Linked DNA regions of Sus scrofa. The protein of the gene in region 1 interacts with the protein of each later gene in a biochemical or structural test. Links are inferred from orthologs where the notes say so. Each region holds a gene or a part of one and is shown on either strand. Other genes may lie near its edges.

Region 1 (4,148 bases):
CAGGAACTCCGAAAAGTCCTGTTTTCTGCTCAAGGATTTTAGGTCTACTTGTGGGGAGAAGATCTCAGAACAAAACATGCTGGGACACTAAAAAGGCCCAGGCACCTCCTACCCCCTCCCCTCTACCACCTGGTAAAGCGGTAAATGCCACCTTTCACGCTGGCCCAGAAAACCAGCCCGAGCCTGGCTGAGTGGGCCGGCCCACAGACACCGTGCTGTCGGCCCAGCACATCAGCTCCACCAAGGCGCTGCCCGTCCCTCACAAGGCACTCTACAACCATCTGCAAAACGAGCGGAGGACTCTCTTCTGCCATTGGTTTTAAGGCATTAACGCGTCTTAAAAACAACCCAGCAGGTGGCAGCACTGAGCTTTAAGGAAGCCACGAGTAGGAAGCGCTTAGAAACAGCACTGCTATTTCAAGAGAAAAAAGATGGACGAGGATAAAAGCCGTATGAGGAAGAAGGGCATTCAAATGGCACTTCTGGCCCGTGGAAGGGCACTCCCACCGTGTAACAGAGGTGGTTCCTGAAAGGGGTACAGGGTCCCTGACGGTGAGCTGTTAACTCCCGAAGTTTTTCCATCACGGACCCACAACGCCTTGAAACGAGAGACTGGATTCCCGAAGCTCCTCTAGAAGAATGCTTATGTGTGGAAGGTGGTTAGGACATCTGCTTCGAATTTCTAAAACAAACTCTTTAAAGGTTTTACGTGATAAAATGGAACATGGTCTGGGAGCTGCCCAGTGGGCACCGCAGGGCATGGGCAGGGACTAGTCATCAGACAACTGAACACCAGCTGCCTCAGGGTTTGGGGCCATCATTCAATCACCAGTTAATGGCTTGTATTCTTGGTCTTCCTCGGCCGGATTTATACTCAGGTCAGTATAAAGTGTAAGGAAAACCGACGAAGAAACCAGAGTTAATGAGAAGCATAAAGCCTTTTCCACCTCAAGGTGCTCTTCACCCACCAGATCCTCATTTGCATGTGTTTAATCAAGCACATCAAAAAGCCACTGTTTCTATGCATGTGAGTGGGAGTCGGGGTACTCGGGAAATCTCTGTACCTTCCAGTTGATTTTTCTGTGAACTTAAACCTGCTCTAAAAAACCAAAGTCTACTTAAAAAAAAAAAAAGCCACTGTTAAAAGAGGAAAACTGAAAATCAGATCCAGCTTGATTTTTTTCATGTTGGGACTAGACCTAGCTATACTGGAAACATTATCTGTAAGATACTGCAAATATCACCTGAAACCACCTCCCACAACTTCACTGAGAAAAAGGATACAAAAAATTTAAACTTAAATCTACATTAAAAAACCCCTACACTTTAACCACTCATTTGGTCCCAAAATGAAACAAGGTATTCAGTTGATTTTTTTTTTTTTTTTTGCTTTTTAGGGCTGCACCTGCAGCATATCGAAGTTCCCAGGCTAGAGGTCAAACTGGAGCTACAGCTGCTGGCCTACACCACAGCCACAGTAATGCTGGATCCTTAACCCACTGAATGAGGCCAAGGATCAAACCCATGTCTTCATGGATACTAGTCAGGTTTGTTACTGATGAGCCATGACGGGAACGCACCCAGTTTATTTTTGAGACTGAAAAATCTTTATATCATCTGTAAATGGAAAATAAAATATTTTACAGCCTCCATTTAAAAATAATGTAAATCCATACTAAAGCGAGCTGAGTTTTAATCTAATCACCTCCGCCATATAAACAATGAAGTGATTTGTAAGATTCCTAGGTCAGGGTTTCTTGTGATATTAACTAGAAATGGACTGAATCAAAATGTATGGAAATGACAACTTTGAAATCTTTGTCACGGATGGGGAGTGATTAGTTTAGTGTTGTCAAAGTTCCAATTTGTATTCTCTGTGATTCCCAAGATGGTAAAACTCCCGGTACTCCCCCATTCTGAGCACACAGCTCCCTGCCAACGTTACATTCCCCACCGGGGAAAGAAACCCTTGTGTTTGAAGTCAATGGGAGGCCTAGGATGATGCTGGCAGATTTAGCTAGACACCTGGTAAAGGGGCACAAGGGAGCTGATCACTTACAGAGCTGCAGGAAGCCCAGAAAGGGCAGGATGTTCGGAGGAGGAAAGAGTGGTGTATGTGGAGAGCATTGCAGAGTGGTGGGGACTGGGGAAAAGAGGGAAGTGTGCGCTCTCTCAAGTGCTGCCGCTGCTCAGCCACTGAAGACTTCCCTCTTGGGAGTCCTAAACCCAGTATTGCTGGAGCTGCTAGATTCTTTAGAGGAACCAGAAATGAGGATTTTAATGTAAGCTTTTCTGATGTGTAAAATACTGCCAAAGCTAAACCTTAACCAGTGTGCCACCTTTGGTGCATGTAGTCAGACGCCTGGCCTCTGGCTTCACAACTGCCATCAGCTGGAGACAGGCTTCCAGGCGACCAGAGCAGGAAGTACTTACTTGACAGAGAGGGAGAAATCCCCAGGAGCGCTCTCGCTCTCACGGATGAGAAAGGCCCCATCGTGCCGCTGTTTGCTAAGCATTTCTTCTGCCTTGGCTCTGGGGATTTTGCCAAAAAACCACCTAAGGAAGGAAGGCAAACCAGTCAACATCTGCTTCCCCACAAAGAAACGGGATATCCAGCCTCCGAAATGTGAGGAACCGAGAACTCCTCGCCAAAGGAGGGGCCCCTCTCCCCTGCCAGTCCCGCCCGTCCCGACCACGCCTTGAGAGAGGGACCAGATCCCTTCAAAGCCTTCTCGCTTCCCCACTCTCCAGAGTGACTCAGAAGACACCATCGTGGGCCACTCTTTCTACAGAGAAAGACACCTGAACATGGGCCTCCTGGGCCAAAGCCCACTGGGGCCCCTCCTGACTCATCAGCAAGGCAGCGGGGAAAGCCCAGGCCTACTGACTTAAGCACAGGATGAACCACAGAGGGGGAGATGGGCCCTTCCTGCAGCCATTTGATAAGGCGGCAGCCTTGCCACATGGGATGGAGAGACAGGGACAGGGAAGCTGGAAGGCCCAGAAGCTGCAGGCAGGGCTACTTCTTGTAACAGCACAAAGGGGAAAGGTCCTGGCGGTGAAGAGCCCCAGGTGGTGGCGGCGGTTTGCATTCCTCTCAGGCCTCTCTCTGCCGTCACCGCTCAGGGTTTGGCTTTTAGGAGCCGTCGGGAATATGCCATAATTCACCCTGTGCAGAGGCAGCTAGTTGCAAATTTCGAATTTTCATTTGGAGCAAGTTATAGATTCTTCTGCTCCCAGTGCTCATTCACTTTGGTCACGAGAGAAAGCAGGGGAACTCAGGGAAAGTGTGGGAGCCCCGGGGGCCGACCAGGAGGAAGAGGAGCAGCAATCTCGTCACAGCCACCTCCCTTTCCACAGGGAAGCCCTAACTAACTGGGAGAGATGACTGGAAACTCAGTGCTCTGTGCCAAGCTGTCTTTACCGAGCTAATACTTTAAAAAAGCAACAACGCTACTTATAAGCGAATAAAGACCTATGGGCCTCATCAGACTCCTTACGGGGCAGCTAACAGGCAGTGTATCCGCAAACCAGAAAAGCAAAGGCACCAAAGCATCAACTAAGGTTCTAAACCTACCACACATCCATCTTACTTATAAGCAACTGCACCACAAGATGCCTCTGAAATAATACACTATACTAAAATCCCAACAGAAGGACGTGAGCTGCGAGGAAGGGTACAGTCAGAAGTTGCCATCAATAACCTAAAACAGCCCTAAAATCTGCATCCTTGTGTCTTTCGCACTTGGGGTGCTATAACGCCGAGCTGCGCGGAGGAGCTGGTACAACCGACCTGCCTTCCTGCCCTGACACATAACTCGAGGCGAAGGCCTCCAGTGCCCACAGAGAAATTGCGGATTAGCACGGCAGGATGCCCTCCGACTGGGCAAGGACAGCTCACAGCACGGGGACGCGTGAGCACTGTCTTGGTCCCTGGGCGCTTGGTTTACTGGTTTACGAGGCCCCCGCGCAGCAGGCATCTGGCTGGGAGCCACATTCTTTCCTCCTGCCCCCCCCCCCCCCCATTTTCCCACCAGATAGGCATTTTCCTTTCTGTTTCCCCTTTTTAAGGTAAAAGTAATGAATATGAATTAAAATAGCGTAGATGTGCGTGAAGTAAAAATAAAAAGCAGGGCTCCTCCCTCAAG
Region 2 (4,148 bases), on another chromosome or scaffold:
TCCGATTCAGCCCCGACAGGAAAGGAAATTGGGAGGTCTGGGTTCCCGTCAGGCCAATGAATGGACACGCCCGAGGTGGACCAGGCGCCTGGGTGGGTAGCAGCTCCTTGGGGATGCTCTGACGGACCACACCCGGGGGAAGGGGAAGGGACAGGGCAGGGCTGTGGGGTGTCTAGCCACAGCAGAGTCTGTAGACCCCCATGATGCCCAGCTTTGTCATCATGTACCTCTGTTAATGTTTTAAAGTTGAGGGAATTGGGAGTTCCCGTCGTGGCGCAGTGGTTAACGAATCCGACTAGGAACCATGAGGTTGCGGGTTCGGTCCCTGCCCTTGCTCAGTGGGTTAAGGATCCGGCGTTGCCGTGAGCTGTGGTGTAGGTTGCAGACGCGGCTCGGATCCCGCGTTGCTGTGGCTCTGGCGTAGGCCGGTGGCTACAGCTCCGATTCGACCCCTAGCCTGGGAACCTCCATATGCCGCGGGAGCGGCCCAAGAAATAGCAAAAAAAAAAGACAAAAAATAAAAAAATAAAAAAAAATAAAGTTGAGGGAATTGTCCTGTGGCACAGCAGGTGAAGGATCTAACTTTGTCATGGCTGCAGCGGCTCAGGTTGCTGCCGTGGTACAGGTTCGATCCTTGGCCCAGGAACTTCCACATGCCACAGGCAAAGCCAAAAAATTCCTTGAGTTCCTGCTGTGGTGCAGTGGGTTAAAAATCCAACTGCAGTGGCTCAGGCTGCTACAGAGGTGCAGGTTCGATCCCTAGCCTGGCACAGTGGGTCAAAGGATCCAGTGTTGCCACAGCTGAGGCATAGGTGGCATCTGTGGCATGGATTTAGTCCCTGGTCCAGGAACTTCCATAAGCCACCTGTGTGTCCATAGGAAAAGAAAGAGGAACAGCTAAACTGTAGTGCTTACTTTGCACACCCCTGGACCATCTTGCGCCCCCACTCTGATAGCATGATGGCACGTCAGCTATCCCGCATCTGCTCCTCTGGTCCTTCTTTTTTCTCTTTTTTTTCCCATGAAGTTTTATTGAAGCCCAGGTGATGGACAGCGCTGCAGCAGCTTCAGCTGTGATTCAACCATACACATGCACACATCCATTCTCTGTCACATCTTTTCCCATATACCTGACCACCCCCTTCATCTCTGCTCGTCGTGGTTTCAGGTAGCGGAGGGGAGGAGAGGCTACTGTGAAAACTAGCGGCTTATTAAAAGCCCGGTGATAAGCAGCCGTGTTCGTTTTGCCCGCCGGTATTCATTCATCTGAGGAGTATTTTGGTGTGTGGTATCTCGGTGCACCCGGAGTGCCCATTAGCTGTTGAGCACGGAGGTGGGCTGTGCGTGATTCATTAGAACTTCGCTGTCTTCGCCCCCTTCCGCTGGGTGAAGGTTCGGGGCGCTCCTCAGCCTTCCCTGATTCACAGGTCCTGTGTGCTGCCTGGTATGCTGACAAATGCCCCTTGTCCCTCTGCTTCGAGTTACAGGATGCTGACAGCAGGCCCTAGCAGCTGCCCTCTGAGAGAGTTCTGTCATTCACTCACGGGGAGCTTGGCAACACCAGAAAGATTTCTTAGGAGCTGTTATTCACATTTAAAGAATGTCCATTTAAAAATGTTTAAAGGTCACCCTTCTTGTTTCCCAAGCGTAATAGCCCATTGTCCCCGCGCCCTGTGGTAGGTGGCCCGTCCCTCCTGATCTTACCTCGTGGGAGCCTCAGCCGGCTGACGGGTCTGAGAGGCACAGGTTCTGACCCTGCGCTCGGCCTGGTCCTGCCTTTTACTCACCAGACAGTGGGGTTGAGGGGACTCTGCTTCTTTAAAGGACGGGGAGTGTCCCAGCTTTTTGGTCTGCTGTCTTCAAGGGGAGGGACCTGAGCTTTTCCTAACAGCACTACTCACCACGGGGGCTGCAGTTAGAAATTTCGTGCCAAGAGCTGTGGTGAAGGCTCCACGTTCATTGCGGCGTTACTTTCTGGGGACAGCGTCTGGGTAGGCCTCACGGTCCCCCGCTTTACAGATGAGAAAGTGAGGGTGAGCACAGAGAAGCCGCCGGCCCGGGTGAGAGCCCGTCAGAGCCGGTGCCCAGCCCGCTGCTCTGTAGGAACGGGCCGGCCGGCCGGCCCGCGAGGTTCCCCGCTCGCTCCGCAGCCTCTGGCCTGGAGCCGTTCAACTCTCCCCGGTGTGTTTCAGATCCTCCGGACCACGAGCCGGCCGTGTCTCCGCTGCTGCCTCGAAAAGAGCGCGGCCCTCAGGACGGCGGCCTCAACGAAGACGAGCGCCTGCTCCCCAAAGACAAGAAGACCAACTTGTTCAGCGCCTTGATCAAGAAGAAGAAGAAGACCGCCCCGACCCCTCCCAAACGCAGCAGCTCCTTCCGGGAGATGGACGGCCAGCCCGAGCGCAGAGGGGCCGTCGAGGACGAGGGCCGGGAAGCCAGCAACGGGGCGCTCGCGCTCGCACCCTCGGATGCGGCCGAGCCAGCCAAGTCCCCAAAGCCCAGCGGCGGGGCCGGCGTGCCCAACGGAGCCTTCCGGGAGTCCGGGGGCGCCGGCTTCCGGTCCCCCCACCTGTGGAAGAAGTCCAGCACCCTGACCAGCAGCCGGTTAGCAGCCAGCGAGGAGGAGAGCGGCGGCAGCTCCAGCAAGCGCTTCCTGAGGTCCTGCTCTGCCTCCTGCGTGCCCCACGGGGCCAAGGACACAGAGTGGCGGTCGGTCACGCTGCCTCGGGACCTGCAGTCCACGGGAAGACAGTTTGACTCGTCCACATTTGGGGGGCACAAAAGTGAGAAGCCAGCTCTGCCGCGGAAGCGGGCCAGTGAGAACAGGTCCGACCAGGTGACCAGAGGCACCGTCACCCCGCCACCCCGGCTGGCGAAGAAGACCGAGGAAGAAGCTGACGAGGTTTTCAGAGACACAGCCGAGTCCAGCCCGGGCTCCAGCCCTCCCACCCTGACTCCGAAACTCCTCCGTAGGCAGGTTCCATCTTCCTCCAGCCTTCCCCACAAGGAAGACGCCGGAAAGTGCAGTGCCTTGGGGGCACCTGCTGAGCCGGGGCCCCCCACCAGCAGGGCCGGGCCAGGTGCCTCTGGAGGGCCCAGCAAGGCCCCTGGCGAGGAGTCCAGAGTGAGGAGGCACAAGCCCGCCTCCGAGTCCCCAGGGAGGGACAAGGGAAAGCTGTCCAAACTCAAGCCTGCCCCGCCGCCCCCACCGCCCGCCTCTGTTGGGAAGGTGGGGAAGTCCTCTCAGAGCCCGAGCCAGGAGGCAGCCGGGGAGGTAGGCCCCAGTGGGAAGGCGAAGCCTGCGGCTCTGGCTGTGGATGCCGTGAACAGTGACGCTGCCAAACCCAGCCAGCTGGGAGACGGTGTCAAAAAGCCTGTGCTCCCGTCCGTGCCAAAGCCACAGTCGTCCACCAAGCCAGCCGGGACCCCAACCAGCCCAGCCTCTGCTCCCTGCACGCTGCCGACAGCATCCTCTGCCCTGGCGGGGGACCAGCCGTCCTCCACCGCCTTCATCCCTCTCATATCGACCCGCGTGTCTCTTCGGAAAACCCGCCAGCCTCCGGAGCGGATTGCCAGCGGCGCCATCACCAAGGGCATGGTACTGGACGGCACCGAGGCCCTGTGCCTGGCCGTCTCCAGGAACTCTGAGCAGATGGCCAGCCACAGCGCCGTGCTCGAAGCCGGCAAGAACCTCTACACGTTCTGCGTGAGCTACGTGGACTCCATCCAGCAGATGAGGAACAAGTTCGCCTTTCGCGAGGCCATCAACAAACTGGAGAACAGTCTTCGCGAGCTTCAGATCTGCCCGGCGACAGCAGGGAGTGGCCCAGCGGCCACCCAGGACTTCAGCAAGCTCCTCAGCTCCGTGAAGGAGATCAGTGACATCGTGCAGAGGTAGCAGAAGCTGGGCGTCCAGAGTGTGTGAGGGCTCCCCGTGCCCTTGACGGTGGCTGACAGAGGACCAGCAAGCGGGGACCTTGGCCCGGGAGCCCTGCTCCGGGCAGAGCCGGGGGCCGCCGTGGAGTGCAGCCCTACTCCCTGCGTTGTACACCCACCGTCGTCGCATGCTCCCCTCTCCGAGGCCCGGCTCCCCGCACCCCCGGCCGCGTTCTGTCTGTGGGGTTCCTGCTCTCTGGACTGTGGTCAGT

Evidence for each region.
Region 2: the proteins of GRB2 (region 1) and ABL1 form a complex in vitro, tested with the Homo sapiens proteins (3 studies listed by BioGRID). The link is inferred for Sus scrofa from reciprocal best matches to the Homo sapiens genes GRB2 and ABL1.

What each region holds. Positions count from the first base shown.
Region 1 is NC_010454.4:6,002,975-6,007,122, reverse strand, and holds part of GRB2 (growth factor receptor-bound protein 2), read right to left. Parts: intron 2,557-4,148; coding exon 2,434-2,556; intron 1-2,433. UniProt on the Homo sapiens protein: Non-enzymatic adapter protein that plays a pivotal role in precisely regulated signaling cascades from cell surface receptors to cellular responses, including signaling transduction and gene expression.
Region 2 is NC_010443.5:270,900,852-270,904,999, forward strand, and holds part of ABL1 (tyrosine-protein kinase ABL1), read left to right. Parts: intron 1-2,192; coding exon 2,193-3,898; 3' UTR 3,899-4,148. UniProt on the Homo sapiens protein: Non-receptor tyrosine-protein kinase that plays a role in many key processes linked to cell growth and survival such as cytoskeleton remodeling in response to extracellular stimuli, cell motility and adhesion, receptor endocytosis, autophagy, DNA damage response and apoptosis.